4 linked regions of the Macaca fascicularis genome follow. The protein of the gene in region 2 purifies or fractionates together with the protein of the main gene of each other region. This does not show direct contact. Links are inferred from orthologs where the notes say so. Each region holds a gene or a part of one and is shown on either strand. Other genes may lie near its edges. The genes, in order: CHAF1A, SETDB1, ATF7IP and SUV39H1.

Region 1 (4,297 bases), on a different chromosome or scaffold from region 2:
TTTTCCCACATGGGGTTCCCTGAAGGGAAGCTTAGATTTCAGGTGGGGTGTGTCCAGGAGCAGGGCTGGCGAGTGTGACCCTCCCCGTGGCTGCGTGTGCTCTGAACTGCTCAGCACCACAGAGTCCTCCCTCGGGGACAGTGGGGATAAAGCCCACTCAACGTGGGGCAGGGAGGAGGTCACCTCCTAGCTCCAGCACTCACAAAAGATGCACCCGACCTAGGGGTGGGCTCTCACGAAGTCTCAGACTCCAAGCCAAACTCAGCTCCCAGCAGCTCTGGTTTGAGGAAGGAGACCCCAGCAGGTCCCCGGGAACACCCCCTCCTAACCCCCCAACCCAGGGCAGGAGGGATCGCTGGACAGAAGCACATGCGGAAAACCTGCACCTTGACCCAGGTCAGCCTGGTATGAGGATGACTTAGTGTCAAACAGATGGGACAGCGCTGTTGCAGGGCACAAGGCTGGCCCCAGACACGACGCACTCGGAGAGAAACACGATGTTGTCAGAAAAGACAGAGCAGCTCAGTGCTAGAGAATAAGTTTATACACTGCCTCTTTACACACTGCCTCGTTTATACACGGGGCCCGTGCACATGGCCAGGTGGGTGGTCCTGGCTCTTCAATTCATTTACAAGTACTGGATTCCACGCCTGCTCCTGTGCCCGCAGGCTTCCTCGATAGGCCAGCAATCTCAATAATGCTTTATTAAAGGGCAGATTCATACGCAGCTCTTGGGGGAATTTTTACAAATATCAAAGGAACTAATCCAGCATCCTATATAGAACTCTGCACACCTTGGGGAGGTCCGTGAAGCAGGACAAAGTGCTCTTTACACAGGAATCGAGTCGGTTCAAGTATCTGCTCCGTGGGGAGGACACCCTAAGCGTTCTACGTACGTCACCACTGCTCTCACGACGCGCCCAGTGGGCTCGCAGGCAGGGCGGCCTTGCTGGTGTCCACCCCCACACCACCCCCAGCTCCGGAAGTGGCTCCACACGGGGCTTGGACCTCTGCAGGGCAAGAAAGGGAAGGTCTTGAGCTGGCTGTGCCTGCTGGGCTCCCTGGGGGAGGACCTGTTGCCTCATGGGGCCTGCAACGGCCCCAGGGCGGAACCCTTCACCTGACAGTGGGGGCAGGCGGAAGCTGGGGCATTGTGCCCCTTCTAGAGGTGACCTGCTCACCTGCTCTCAGGCTGACCCTGCCCCCCACCACCTAGGCACACTCCTCCCGCACAGCCTGCTGCAAGGCCTCTGCACTTCCTCTTTGGGGAGTCCTCCAGAAATCCACCTGGCCCTCCCTTGCCGCCTCAGTGCAGTCTTCCCTGACCCCCATCTAACGTCCCGCCACCTGAGACTCCCAGCACAGGCCCTTGTGGCTCTGCCCAAGTGGCAGAGGACATGGCAGGGTAGGAGCCACTTCCAGCTGCAAACCCTCCTGGCAGCTCACAATGGAGCGAGTCTTAGGCGGCGCCATCCCTTCCCTGTTGAGGTTTACCTCCCCCACCCCTCACCAGTGCGTTCTGCTATCTAGAGCCCTTCTCACCCGCAGCGTCCGGGACATCCACGATCATACACTCGCCCTCCTCCTCTTCCTCCTCCTCTGTGTCTGCCTGGAAGCCGTCCATGTCCTCAGCACCAACCTGGAAAGACAAGGTGCATGGCCATCAGCATTACAGGTGGCAGCCACACTGGTGCTGGCGGGGGTGGGGGGCCTCTGCGGGTGTGACCCCTCCCTCCCACCCCCAACACTGAAGGGAACCCAACATCCAGAACCCAATTTGGTAACAAACTGTCCAAATGTGAGGTTTATTCGAGAGGCCACAACCAGAGAACCTTGGGGGTTCCCTCAAATGAACTGGATTCATATCTCCACAAATGGCCATCATTGCCGTCTACAGAATAATCTCGTCGGTGACAGGCCACATACCTGATAGTGGTCCCATCAGATTACAACTGTATTTATTTTTATTTTTGATTTTTGAGATAGAGTCTCACTCTTGTCACCCAGGCTGGAGTACAGTGGCACAATCTCAGCTCACTGTGACCTCCACCTCCTGGGTTCAAGTGATTCTCATTCTTCAGCCTCCTGAGTAGCTGGGATTACAGGTGTACGCCACCACGCCAGGCTAATTTTTGTATTTTTAGTAGAGACGGGGTTTCACCATGTTGGTCAGGCTGGTCTCAAATTCCTGACCTTATGATCTGCCCGCCCCGGCCTCCCAAAGTGCTGGGATTACAGACAACTGTATATTTACTTATTTGGTATGTATATATTTTGAGACAGAGTCTTGCCCTATCGTCCAGGCTGGACTGCAGTGGTGCTATCTTGGCTCACTGCAACCTCCGACTCCCAGGTTCAAGCAATTCTCCTGCCTCAGCCTCCCGAGTAGCTGGGATTACAGGTGCCCGCCACCATGGACAGCTAATTTTTTGTATTTTTAGTCGAGACGGGGTTTCACCATGTCGGCCAGGCTGGTCTCGAACTCCTGACCTTGGGATTCGCCCATGTCGGCCTCTCAAAGTGCTAGGATTACAGGCGTGAGCCACCGTGCCTGGCCTTTGCTGTGCCTTTTCTATGTTAGAGACACAAATACCACTGGGTTGCAAGTGCCTACAGGGTTGAGCAGTCAGTCAGTCACCTGCTGCACAGGTCCACAGCCCAGGAGCCCTGGGCTATGTACCACATGGCCCAGGCGTGTGGCAGGCTGTCCATCTAGGGTATGTAAAAGCAACCTAGCCCATCAGCACAACCATGAAATTGCTTGAGGACACCTCTCAAAACACATCCCTGACGTGAAGCGATGACTGTGACTTGTGATTACTTTTTTTTAGATGGACTCTTCACTCTGTTGCCTGGGCTGGAGTGCAGTGGTGCGATCTTGGCTCGCTGCAAGCTCCACCTCCCGGGTTCACGCCATTCTCCTGCCTCAGCCTCCCGAGTAGCAGGGACTACAAGCGCCCACCATCACGCCCGGCTATTTTGTACTTTTTAGGAGAGACGGGGTTTCACCATGTTAACCAGGATGGTCTCGATCTCCTGACCTCGTGATCCACCTGCCTTGGCCTCCCAAAGTGCTGGTATTACAAGCGTGAGCCACCGCGCCCGGCCTTTTTTTTTTTTTTGAAGTGGAGTCTCGCTGTCGCCCAGGCTGGAGTGCGGTGGCCAGATCTTGGCTCACTGCAAGCTCCGCCTCCCAGGTTCACGCCATTCTCCTGCCTCAGCCTCCTGAGTAGCTGGGACTACAGGCACCCGCCACCACGCTTGGCTAATTTTTTTGTATTTTTATTAGAGACAGGGTTTCACCATGTTAGTCAGGATGGTCTCGATCTCCTGACCTTGTGATCCGCCTGCCTCGGCCACCCAAAGTGCTGGGATTACAGGCGTGAGTCACTGCGCCTGGCCTTTTTTTTTTTTTTTAAGTAGAGACAAGGGGGTGTCACTATGTTGCCCAGGCTGGTCTCGACCTCCTGGGCTCAAGCCATCCTCCCACCTCAGCCTCCCAAAGTGCTGGGATGACAGGTGAGCCACCGCACCTGGCCCTAGTGAAATTCCTGAGCCGTTTCCATTTGCTTTCCCCAAAGGAGAAAGACAGGATGCATGGAGGCCACCACGAGCCTCTGCATCAGTGCTGACCCTCCGTGCATGAACACAAGCCCCTCCTAGGACACAGAGCCACACTTATTTCAGCAGGGAGGCTCGTCCTCAAAACACTCCAGGAAGTCTTCCTCTACAAAAACCTCCATTCGCCTAGAAAAGTGACCGCACAGCAACACAACGGCCAGGCAGTAGGCTGGTTTCGTGGGCTGTCACGTAAGAGCACAGCGCCTGGCCAGGCATACTGGGTTCCTATCGTAGCCCCATCAATGCCTGGGTAGGGGCTCCCCTCCTGGATCCTCTTCAGTGGCTGGGAGCCCAGGCTGTCCCTCTCCCCAGGCAGCATGGGTTGACCCTGTGAGGACATAGGAGAAACAGTCCTGCTTTGTCACCCAGGCTGGGGTGCAGTGGTGCAATCATAGGTAACTACACCTTCGAACTCCTGGCCTCAAGTGATCCTCCTGCCACAGCCTCCCAAAGTGCTGGGATTACAGGCATGAGCCACGGAGCCTGGCCTATGGCCATTTTCAACTACCTTTTTGAAAGAAGAGTTAAGCAAAGAAGAGTCTAAGAGTCCCCTGTAGACTCTGCTGAGGGACATTCTGATTTGGAGGTGTCTGGGGACATTAAACAACAGGAACACGCCAATTTCTTCAGAGCCACCTCAAGTCACTGGGCCCTTGCTCCACACAGGAGACGTGCT
Region 2 (4,220 bases):
AGGATGGGGAACATCACATACCAGGGCCTGTTGTGCGGTTGGGGGAGGGGGAAGGGATAGCATTAGGAGATATACCTAATGTCAATGATGAGTTAATGGGTGCAGCACACCAACATGGCACATGTATACATATGTAACAAACCTGCAGGCTGTGCACATGTACCCTAGAACTTAAAGTATAATAATAAATTTTTAAAAATGTATTCTAAGTGACAACTGGAGCACTAGAAACAAATCTTTTGGGGGGTATAGGAACTGATTAATGCTTCGGAGTTACGTAAGACAGAAATTCTGTACAATCCTCACTCCCTGGATGATCTTACTAGGGAAATGAAGCAATTGTTCTAAGACAGAGCACAGGAGGAAGAAGGGGAAAGGACTTAAGACTTGGACTCCCAGGCCGGGCGCGGTGGCTCAAGCCTGTAATCCCAGCACTTTGGGAGGCCGAGGCGGGCGAATCACGAGGTCAGGAGATCGAGACCATCTTGGTTAACACGGTGAAACCCCGTCTCTGCTAAAAAATACAAAAAACTAGCCGGGCGTGGTGGCGGCGCCTGTAGTCCCAGCTACTCAGGAGGCTGAGGCAGGAGAATGGCGTGAACGCGGGAGGCGGAGCTTGCAGTGAGCTGAGATCCGGCCACTGCACTCCAGCCTGGGCGACAGAGCGAGACTCCGTCTCAAAAAAAAAAAAAAAAAAAAAAAAAAGACTTGGACTCCCTTATGTTAGCTGCTGACAGATGAAAATTATATTTATGGCTGACTGTAAGGTCAGATTTTTTACCATAAACTTCGAGGAAGAGTAAGGTTCTAAATATGTGTACTTCATAAAGTATAAAATTCTTGGTACACAGCCCGGCCAACATGGTGAAACCCTGTCTCTACTAAAAATATAAAAAATTAGCTGGGCGTGGTAGCGGATGCCTGTAATCCCAGCTACTTGGGAGGGTGAGGCGGGAGAATCACTTGAACCTGAGAGGTTGAGGTTGTAGTGAGCTGGGACCACTCCACTGCACTCCAGCCTGGGTGACAGAGCGAGACTCCGTCTCAAAAAATAAAATAAAATGCTTGGTACAAGGTCATGAACAATTATTCTCTAAAAATATCTCCCAATGGAGAGATTTCCCTCTATTTTCCATGGAGTTCTCACCTGGATGCATCATCAAATAGCTGGTCAACGTGAGCCACCTCAGATTCTTTCTGTATTACCCATGTCTCTAACTCTGCTAGCTGCTTCTTGCGCTGCTGTACACAATCCATCTTCTCCAGTTCCTCATCGATGAAATGCCGAAGTTCCTCCATAGAGATACCCAGTTCCTCAACCACTGCCTGTTGCAGCTCTGCTATCTCTTCAGACTCCACTGTAGCTGTTGCTGCATCCAAACCAATGCACCCAGGAAGGGAAGACATGCTTTTGTCCTCTGCATGGAACAGAAAACAAATTAAACGGGAGTCCTTATAACTATAATCAATAGAGAATTTCAGTTCCCTAATAAAACTAATTCCTGTTCTGCTGCCTGTTATTCTATTCAAATAGTCCATGTTCTTCTTCCCCATTCTCCAGAATCTGATGCTGAGATTTTTAAGAGTTCTTATCTTCTACTACACACTAACAGGCCTGAAAAAGCTTTAAAAGTTTGAGAGGGCATGGAGAACATTCATTAAGCAGTAGGGAGCTACTGAAAATAATGTTTTGGGCTACCACAGTGGCTTACATCTGTAATCTCAGCACTTTTAGAGGCCAAGACAGGAAGGTCGCTTGAGGGCAGGAGTTCAAGACCAGCCTGGGCAACATGGCAAGACTCGTCTTTACAAAAAAAATACAAAAATTAGCCAGGTGTGGTGGTGCATGCCTTTAGTCCCAGCTACTCAGGAGGCTGAGGTGGGAGGATCGCTTGAGCCCAGGAGAGGCTGCTGTAGTGAGCTATGTTTGCCCTATGCATTCCAGCTTGGGTGACAAAGCGAGACCCTGTCTCAAAACAAACCGAACTTTAAAAATAATGCTTTGGGATACCGAAGAGAACTAATCCAGGAGAAGATATTTTTGTGGTCTATACGTGTTCCTTAACTTAAAGATTATGTGATAAATCTTTGTATGCTATGCCTAATTTGAACAAAACTTCTACCTGGGGATGGAGTTGACTTGTAACTCACTAATTCAGTGTTTTCTCTTTCATCACTTCTTCCCCTTACATTACTTTGCTTCCATGTGGAAATTTACTTTTTAAAAAGTCTATGATATTCAAAGCTCGCAGCAAAAAGGTTTCCCCCAAAGTACAGAGAAGTAAAGCAAGCTGGGAATAAAACGTGGCTACCTAACATCCACAACCAAAATACTTCACACATTCGTGTGAACTGCTTTTTCAATCAAACGGTTAAAGCAAACCTGATTTTCAACGCCTCCATTTTCCTTTGCCCACACACCAGCCCACTCCCGTGCTACCTATTCTAGGGGTGCGTCCTACCCATTCGCAAACCCAGTTCAGCCCCGCCCCCGTTCGCCTCTGGGGAAGACTTCCTTCCCACCCTCGCCCGACCCCCTCCCACAAACAAAACATCCCAGATAAGCCTTTGGTCACCAAATAACTCAATTAACAGTATTCCCCACACCTCCCGTCTTCCAGCTTTAAGGGCTCTTTTTCACCAACCAGACCCCAGACTCACAACTCATGGGTCAGCCTCGACGGAAAAGAGCGAAAGCGAAGGGATAAGGGAGGAGGGGGAGGGGAGAAAGCATGAAGGAGGGAAGGGGAAGCAAAAGAAACGCCCGGAAGCAAACCTTTAGTGCCGTTCCGGTCACCGCGACGGTAGCCTGATGGGGTCAAATCCAAAGTCGCGGGGCGCCCCTCAGAGGCGACGAAACTAAGGTAACTACGCATGCGTTAAGGCAGAGCCTTCCAGGGACACACGTGAGAAGCGACTGGCAGGGCAGAGTGGGCGTGGCCAGGAGTATATTACCGAGTCTCCGCCTGTCCTACCACCCTCGACTAGTGGCCACATTACTACATTCATAGTGTAAAGACTGAGGGAAGCACTCATAGGTTCAGAGCTTTATTCTTTCAGTTTTACTTGAGTTTGTTTTGTTACATAAGTGATACAAATTGTAAAGGCTATCAAAATGTAATAAGAAAAACGTGATAAAATTCTCTCTTGCCCCATCACTTACCACCCCGCTCCTTTCAGGTAATACAGCTTAATTTTCTAGTCTTGTGTGCACACGTTCCTGTATATAGATTTTTGTTTTCATTTAACATGTGGACATTACCTGAAGCCAATAAAAAAGGTAAAATTTGTATTTTTGGCCGGGCGCGGTGGCTCACACCTGTCATCCCAGCACTTTGGGAGGCCAAGGCGGCGGATCACGAGGTCAGGAGATCAAGACCATCCTGGCTAACACGTTGAAACCCCGTCTCTACTAAAAATACACACACACACAAAATTAGCCGGGTGGTGGGCGCCTGTAGTCCCAGGTACTCGGGAGGCTGAGGCAGGAGAATGGCATGAACCCGGGAGGCAGAGCTTTCGGTGAGCGGGGATCGCGCCACTGCACTCCAGCCTGGGCCATAGAACGAGACTCCATCTCAAAAACAAACAAACAAAAAACAACAACAATAACTTGTATTTTTGACACCTGAATAATAAGGTTAAACCATATTTGTTTAGATTGTTTTCCGTTCTCAGCCCCGACAAATAGCGCAACAATAAAAATAAACATCCTTTTGAAGTAGTACTTTTATTTCTGTAGAAAAGATTCCCCAAGCCGGGCGCTGTAGCTCACGCCTGTAATCCCAACATTTTGAGAGGCCGAGGCGGGAGGATTGCTAGAGCCCAGGAGTTCCAAACCGGCCTGGGCAATACGGTGAAACGCCATCTCAACTAAAAATACGAGATAAAAAAAGTCAGGCGTGGTAGTTCGCGCCTGTGGTCCCAGCAACTACGGAGCTGAGGCGGGAGGATCGCTGAGCCCTGCTGGCAGAGGCTTCAGTGAAAGGAGATCGCGCCACTGCACTCCAGCCTGAGTGACCGAGCAAGACTCCGTTTTGAGAGTCCGTCTCAAACACACACACACACACACACACACACACACACACACACACACACACACACACACACACACACACATTTTTCATTTAAAAAGTACAAACCAGAACCTTGTGTGTGAGGCTGGAAACAGAGCCCAAGCAGCTAGAACTCCCAAGTCCTTGAAATTCTCTCCTGTTGAT
Region 3 (3,562 bases), on a different chromosome or scaffold from region 2:
TGTTTAAACCATTTAACTAAAATGATCCTACAGATCCTTTAAAAGCAGAGTCATGCCAGTTACACATCTCAGATCCTTTGATCTACTACTTCGTACTTTAAGAGGTAAATTTGAGAATAAAAATGGGAGACTCCAATGCAGTAACACATACATAGGGAAAAACACACATAAACACCCACACATATTCCCCAGCCTCAAAACTAAAGCAAGGTACACATTTACATTTCCAAACCCCAAAGCCTAAACTGTCCAGGAAAAGATTCTAGCTTTGTGGGCTGAGTTTATTTTGCTTCTGTTTATAAACAAATGTAGTGTATACACACATCTGTCCAAGAAATCTTGCACAAGGTGGATTTTACATGGGGTATCATGCACAAGATTAAAAACAAGACCAAAAGGTGGAAATTTTAAAAGAGGAAAATATAAAGGCTCCAAGGTTTAACTGCTCTGGGTGGAAGAGATCACATCTGTTGACTGAGGATCACAGAAAGGCCCAAAACGTCCATAAATATCCTTGGCTCGTACTGCAAAGTAGTATTTGCTACCAGATACAAACTGGGTGAGAGTACATGCCATGGGCAAGGGAAGTGCCTTGACTTCCCCTATCTTTTTCCATTGTGAGGGCACGGTGGCACTAGGTTCCTCATGGTAAGCATAGAGATGGTAGCTATCAACAGTGGCACAGCTTCGATCCACCTCCAGGACACTCCATGACAGTACTATGCCATTTTGACTCTGAACTCGTGCTAACTTCAAGTGTGGCTTCTGAGGCAGAGATGTGCTGGCAGCTTCTGGGGGCACACGCTGTGGTTGTGGAGCTTCTGGTAAGGGTGCTGGGTGCACAGGGCGTGGCGGCTCCTAAAAAAACAAGTCACACTGATTTATAATGATCGCAAAAAGAACATTTTAGAATGTTAGGATTAAAACACCTTAGAGAACATACATAGAGATACCATTTTACATCAAGAATTCTAGGAAATACCAAACACCATATCAAATTTGGCAAGTTCTATTTGGGGTTTTGTAATGAATGATGCCACAAACAATGATGCTGAGGTTATTCCTGCTCTATTTCCTAGACCTAAAATATTTTGAGTTTTTCTTAGGAAATAAAAAGCCCCTGCTGATGGAACATCATTTTGAGGAACACGGAAATAATGATCTACTTCTAACAAAATAATTTATGATTGAATTATCTATGTTACAGATTATCACTTCAGTATAACATTTTAAAATATCATGTATGGCAATCAAGATCATATAAAATTGGAGAATACAACTATACTTTCATTTTTAAGTTATTTTGCAATATAAGACAACAGCATATTCTTATAAATAAGCGTATTAACACTGAATGTGTACTATATTCTTGGCCAATTTACAAAAAAAAGGTGATATTTAAACTGAACTGTGAAAGATAGGATCTAGAGATGCAGAAATAATCATGTACCTTTTAGCCAAAAATAAAGCATGAGCAAAGGCATGTGGACAGGAAAGTGAGGGGACGTATGGACAACAAGTATTAACTTTTTCTTGGATATAGGGTACATGAAGAAAAATCTGGAAAGGTAGGTTAAGGCCAGATGATGAAAAAAACGTGACTCTAACTTTAGGAGTCCTATTGACTTTTCTAACACTGGAACATCATCGTCATTATGATGATATTTCATACCAGTCAAACACTGACAAAATTGTGTCACAGGATAATGTGACATTGTTTTGGAGGCTAAATCTAAGGAGAAATCTTTGGTTATCTCTGCTGCCTCTTAACTAATGAATTCCCAATATCATTGGATTCTTTAAAACAATTGATGACAATGTAGCAGTTAGACGTGGCATAGTTTAAAACAAAAGAATAAAATTAACACATGGAAAAACGTCCTTTTTAATTTAACTATGAATTAGAAATGGTCTGTATTTCACTTCATATACCCCAACTGTGGACCTGTTTTTGTATACTGTACACCACAAGCAAACTCAATGATTCTAAATGATCATCATCCCTATGAACATTTGTTCATAATGGTTTAAGATCAATTTTTAGAAATAAACTTCTGAAAAAGCAGAAAGACCTAACAATTCCCTTGGATATAACCACTTTAAAGAAAAATGCCAACTACAATAATATTTTATACCTTTACAGTTGAGAATTTTACAAAACCAAGCATCAACACTTACAGTATGCACTTGTGGTGGTCGGTGATGCACTGTGAGCTGAGGTCCTGTGGATCCCAGGGTTAGTCCATTGTTTACAACATACGTGGTTGTTTGAGGCACTCGAACTGTAACACCTACAAAAAAAAAAAAAAAAAATTACAAGATAAAATAATTCTATTGTAAATTTGGTGGAAAACATTAAATATTTGAAGTCAGTGAAGCAATGTTTTCAAGATTTGAAAGGAAAGATATTTCTAACTTAGAGGTCCTATTCGTATTCAGCCAAGCTATCAACCAGCCTGTGGATAAAAAAACTTTCTTATGTGCAAGCACTAAAAAAAAATTCTAACTACCACAAACCTTCTCTCAATAGTCACTGGAGAATATGTGCCACTAATATGTGAGAAAATAAAGAGAAAAATATGAGACACAAGCAACAGGAGGTCCAGCACAGGGAGAAATAAAAGGATCCTTACCAGGAGAACTATGAACAAAAATCCTAGAACACTGGTTGTGTACCGCATGTAAAAGGTAAATGGCCATAATGGAGCAGTGTGACTCAAAAGATAGACAAATTGGGAGTATCTTCATAAAAAGCTCTGCAGTCTCATCTTTTCAACCAGGACAGAAAGCCAGAATAAGTCATCCTTGCCATGTACTAATGAAGTTCCTCTCATTTTCTCCATGCCTAGCTCCTTGGTTCAGGATACTCATTTCACCCCACAGAAAACTGCTGTGACATACACCAAGGAAACAAAAATAGAAAATTCAGAGCTACCTACTGCCCTGACCATACTCCTGCCATTTATTCAGTACCTGGCCCATGCCATAGTTTGGCCTGGTGCCTGGACGATAGTGAGCCAAGTTTCCCAGAACTCATTTCCAAACTTGTTGACTAATTTTCCCAGATAATGCTCTTGTAAACTTGAGAGAGTTGAAGCCAAACTATGATCCAGAGACTCCAATCAGTTTATTTTCTAATGACAGCATTACTGTTTCTTTAAACAGCTATATTTTTCCTTGCTATCACATTTTGCAAAACTACTACATATGTGTGATGGTTAAAACTGAGTGTCAACTTGATTGAAGGACACAAAGTGTTAACCCTGGGTGGGTCTGTGAGGATGTTGCCAAAAGATACTAACATTAGAGTCTGTGAACTGGGGAAGGCAGATCCACCCTTCATTTGGTGGGCGCAATCTAATCAGCTGCCAGAAAATATAAAGCAGGCAGAAAAACGTGAAAAGGAGAGACTGGCTGAGCCTTAGCCTCCCAGTCTACATCTTTTTCCTGTGCTGGATGCTTCCTGCCCTGGAACACTGGCCTCCAAGTTCTTCAGTTTTGGGACTTGGACTGGCTTTCCTTGCTCCTCAGCTTGCAGACAACCTATTGTGGGATCTTGCTT
Region 4 (3,562 bases), on a different chromosome or scaffold from region 2:
TTCCTACAGATTATCAGGACTCCCTCCTGCTCCCACTGTCAGGAGCCCTCAGGGTGTGGACACCTCCCCACTCCTCCTTCTAGATGGCCAGGTCCTGTGGCATGTGGACATCTCCTCCAGCAGGCCAGCAGGGTTATCTGGACAGGGTGTGGCTGTCTCCTTGCCCAGACTGTCAGGGTCCTCTGTGGTATAGATTGTTCTGCCCAAGATTGTCTCTGTCCCTGTGGGGTGTGACCCTCTCTACTTTACAGTTTCTCAGAGCAGGAGCCTCTCCTTGTCATCAGTATCAGTGCTACAGTGTGGACACCCTCATGTGAGTGTTCCTCAGGCCAGTTTCTGTCACTTTCCAACCATATCACACCCCTAAGGGACCTATGGAAATATATACAGGTATCTGGGGTTGTCACTATGACAGGGCACACTCATGGATTTAAATGGTAAAGGTCCAGGAATGCTAAATGTCCCCCAATGCATGAGACAGTTCTCCATAACAAAAATTCATCTCATCCCAAATGCTAACTGCATCCCATCTTAGAATGTGACATTTTTCTGTTGTAGATACTTGTTATCTACTTGCTAGTTATGGCTGTGCTTTAGCCTTGTGCAGCTGGGCACATGGCTAAAGCACATCCCGTTGCCTCCCTTGCACGGAGGTAAGGCCAGTGACTCAGTTCCAGCCAGTGGAGCATGAGCAGAAGTGATGGGTGCTGCATCTAGGCCTGGCCCACTAGGATGGGCCCCTTCTATCCCCGACTTGGCCCGCCTGCTAGGCAATGCTGATGATCTAGTGGTGACTCCAAGGCTTCAAGACACAGCAAAGGCACAGGAGGGAAAGAGCCTCGGTATCCCAGTCGCTGTGTGAAAGGATACCCACCCAAACCCCCACAGTGGACTGTTCCATAAGCAAGCAAACTTGTAATGTGCAAAGTCACTAAGATGAGGGAGTTGTTTTTACAATGGCTGGCTTGCCTAGTACACTCAGCTTTCCCCAGTGTCCTGAAAGTCTAAAGGAGTTAGCCAACCTTTGTCCAAAGCATGTCTCATCCTACTCCAGACTGCGTTCCTTCTGTGCAGACTGGTAAAACAATGCTTCTCAGGCAGATACTGCTTGGTGATAAGATGGGCCCTTGTGAAATGAGAAGAGGAAGTGCCTTTCCAGCTGATGCAGCCCTATGCCAGACCACATGGCCTGATACAAGGAATGCTAAGGCTGCCTGGATCTCAGCTCCCACTTTTCTTCTTCGCTAAGTACCCTGATAAAGTCAACCCAGTGCAGAAGTATTTCGGTGTTTCTGTAACCACCAGCATGGAATACTTGTCCCTGCCCGATGTCCCTATGACACTCTTAGATCAGTGTACCAGGCCTTTCCCACAGGGAAAGCAGGGAGTTGCAGACACACAGTGAGGAGAGCTGGGTGCACACTGTGAACACAGGGTGGGAAGAGCTGCACACACACACTGGTCCCATCTCCCTACCTCTCCCACGTACTCCATGACGAAGCTGTTCTTGCGAATCTTCTCCAGGGTGCGGACGCCCCAGCCACGCCCATCATCCGTGCGGAAGATGCAGAGGTCATATCGGATGCCTTTCTGTACCACGCGATTCGGGCAGTCATAGCCACAGCGGCAGCGGGAGTTGCACTCGTAGATGGGCAGCCCGGCTCGAAGCCGCACCTGGCCCTGGTCATTGTAGGCAAACTTGTGCAGTGATGCCCCCGGGCAGCAGCCTCCAGTGGGTGCCCACAGACAGTCCTGGCACTCGCAGCCCACAGCCACCTGGTTGAGGGTGATGCCCTCACCAACACGGTACTCATTGATGTACACGAAGGCCCGCGGGGGGCCGTCCAGGTCCACCTCATTCTCTACAGTGATGCGTCCCAGATGGCTGCGCTTGGCATTGAGCTCCTGCTCCCAGCGACGGAGCGCCCGCCTCTGCTTGGCCTTCTGCACCAGGTAGTTGGCCAAGCTTGGGTCCAGGTGCCGGGGGGTCTTTGACCGGTGGTGCCGCCGGAGCAGCTCCCTCTCTAAGTCCTTGTGGAACTGCTTGAGAATACGCACACACTTGAGATTCTGCCGTGGCTCCCAGGTGCTCTCTGAGTCTGGATATCCGCGCCATTTCACCAGGTAATATTCCTGTTCCTGTTGGGGGTGGGTAGGGGAACGGTGGTACCATAAGTGGTGAGATCTTTGGGCCAGCCTTCATGGGGCTTCCATGCCAAAGCTGATGGATAACACCTAACCCACCCCACCCCTTTTCTGGAATGACTTCATGCGGTGGTTAAAAAGCATGGGCTCTAGCGTGAGGATTACCAGGTTCAAATCCTGCTCTCCCCCTTACTGTCTGTCCAGACTGTTCCAACTTTTAATTAATCTCCCAAACCCACTCCCCTCCTTGGTCTTCCCCATCATCAGCTCCCTCCTTCTAGCTGTTCAGACCGGAACTCCTGGAGTCATCCTTGAATCCTCTTTTGTTCACACTTCCGACATCCACCCTCCGCACATCCCGTTAGCCCCACCTTCAAAATACATCCAGTGACAAACCATCATCACTGCCACCACTATGGCTCACCTGGACCCTGACAAGTCCTTGCCTGTTTTAGGCAGCTTACATGTATTATTAACTAACTTAATCCTCACAACCCGACATGAGGTGGATGCTCCTAGTCATCCCCCTTTTATGACAAAGGAAATGAAGTACTGAGGGTTTGGGTAGGTAAACACACCAGGACTGGAACCCAAGCATGCTGACTCCAGTTTGTTCTCCTAACCATCCTGCCACTCCCCCTTCTGGCAATAACTGTCCCCATTTCACAGTTGTTAGGGGATTAAATGAGTTTCCTAGAGGAAGCACCTGGCACACTGAAAGTGCTCAATAGCCGTTAGCTGTTGACATTTCCACTCTAGGGTTCAGCATCTCAACCTTTGCAGTTACTTTGTATTCCTAGGGAGATGGGAAGAGAATTCATTCCGGCTCCTGCCCCCATCAGAAAGCTACTTAGTTTCCCTATCTGTAACATAGGGATAAAAGGGTCTGTTCATCCTATTTTTCCAGGGTCAGAGGAGAAAATTCCCTTTGCAAACAGATGTGGGCAGTTGGGGACAAGAGGGCAGGACACTTAACTTCCTTGTGACCTGTCCCCTCCCAGAGCATGGTCACCCCAGACTCACGCGGATCTTCTTGTAATCGCACAGGTACTCGACTTCAAAGTCATAGAGGTTCCTCTTAGAGATACCGAGGGCAGGGCAGGAGAGCTTGGCCAGGCGGCACAGGTCCTGCAGCTGATTCCAAGAAGACTTGCAACACACGCTGCAGCCTGGATCAAGCAGGGCAGAAAGAACTATTACTGGGCAGTCTGACAAGGCCAGGTGTCAAAGGGGACCCCAAATCCTCCCTGGGACATCCCAAAGACTGCCTAAGAGTCAGGGAACTTTAATCCACAGGCCTTCCCCAATGCTGAGACTGTTCTACAACAGAAATGTGCTTTGAACCCCAATGCTCACTGCCCAAGGCTGCCCCTGGAGCAGCAGACCTCTGAGGGGGGTTTGCAACATGAATCGTCCT

Evidence for each region.
Region 1: the proteins of SETDB1 (region 2) and CHAF1A purify together in Homo sapiens (affinity purification with western blotting; 3 studies listed by BioGRID and IntAct, with this or other methods). This does not show direct contact. The link is inferred for Macaca fascicularis from reciprocal best matches to the Homo sapiens genes SETDB1 and CHAF1A.
Region 3: the proteins of SETDB1 (region 2) and ATF7IP purify together in Homo sapiens (affinity purification with mass spectrometry; 6 studies listed by BioGRID and IntAct, counting the BioPlex papers as one, with this or other methods). This does not show direct contact. The link is inferred for Macaca fascicularis from reciprocal best matches to the Homo sapiens genes SETDB1 and ATF7IP.
Region 4: the proteins of SETDB1 (region 2) and SUV39H1 purify together in Homo sapiens (affinity purification with mass spectrometry; 3 studies listed by BioGRID and IntAct, counting the BioPlex papers as one, with this or other methods). This does not show direct contact. The link is inferred for Macaca fascicularis from reciprocal best matches to the Homo sapiens genes SETDB1 and SUV39H1.

Annotation. Positions count from the first base shown.
Region 1 is NC_088393.1:5,181,192-5,185,488, reverse strand, and holds the end of CHAF1A (chromatin assembly factor 1 subunit A), read right to left. Parts: intron 1,640-4,297; coding exon 1,543-1,639; intron 1,011-1,542; coding exon 910-1,010; 3' UTR 527-909; downstream 1-526. UniProt on the Homo sapiens protein: Acts as a component of the histone chaperone complex chromatin assembly factor 1 (CAF-1), which assembles histone octamers onto DNA during replication and repair.
Region 2 is NC_088375.1:110,314,549-110,318,768, forward strand, and holds the start of SETDB1 (histone-lysine N-methyltransferase SETDB1), read right to left. Parts: upstream 2,833-4,220; 5' UTR 2,777-2,832; intron 2,754-2,776; exon of another isoform or gene 2,608-2,753; intron 2,488-2,607; exon of another isoform or gene 2,124-2,487; intron 1,419-2,123; 5' UTR 1,408-1,418; coding exon 1,148-1,407; intron 1-1,147. UniProt on the Homo sapiens protein: Histone methyltransferase that specifically trimethylates 'Lys-9' of histone H3. H3 'Lys-9' trimethylation represents a specific tag for epigenetic transcriptional repression by recruiting HP1 (CBX1, CBX3 and/or CBX5) proteins to methylated histones.
Region 3 is NC_088385.1:17,282,676-17,286,237, reverse strand, and holds part of ATF7IP (activating transcription factor 7-interacting protein 1), read right to left. Parts: intron 2,292-3,562; coding exon 2,179-2,291; intron 859-2,178; coding exon 439-858; 3' UTR 1-438. UniProt on the Homo sapiens protein: Recruiter that couples transcriptional factors to general transcription apparatus and thereby modulates transcription regulation and chromatin formation. Can both act as an activator or a repressor depending on the context.
Region 4 is NC_088395.1:48,855,546-48,859,107, reverse strand, and holds part of SUV39H1 (histone-lysine N-methyltransferase SUV39H1), read right to left. Parts: exon of another isoform or gene 3,315-3,562; coding exon 3,169-3,314; exon of another isoform or gene 2,140-3,168; coding exon 1,477-2,139; intron 1-1,476. UniProt on the Homo sapiens protein: Histone methyltransferase that specifically trimethylates 'Lys-9' of histone H3 using monomethylated H3 'Lys-9' as substrate. Also weakly methylates histone H1 (in vitro).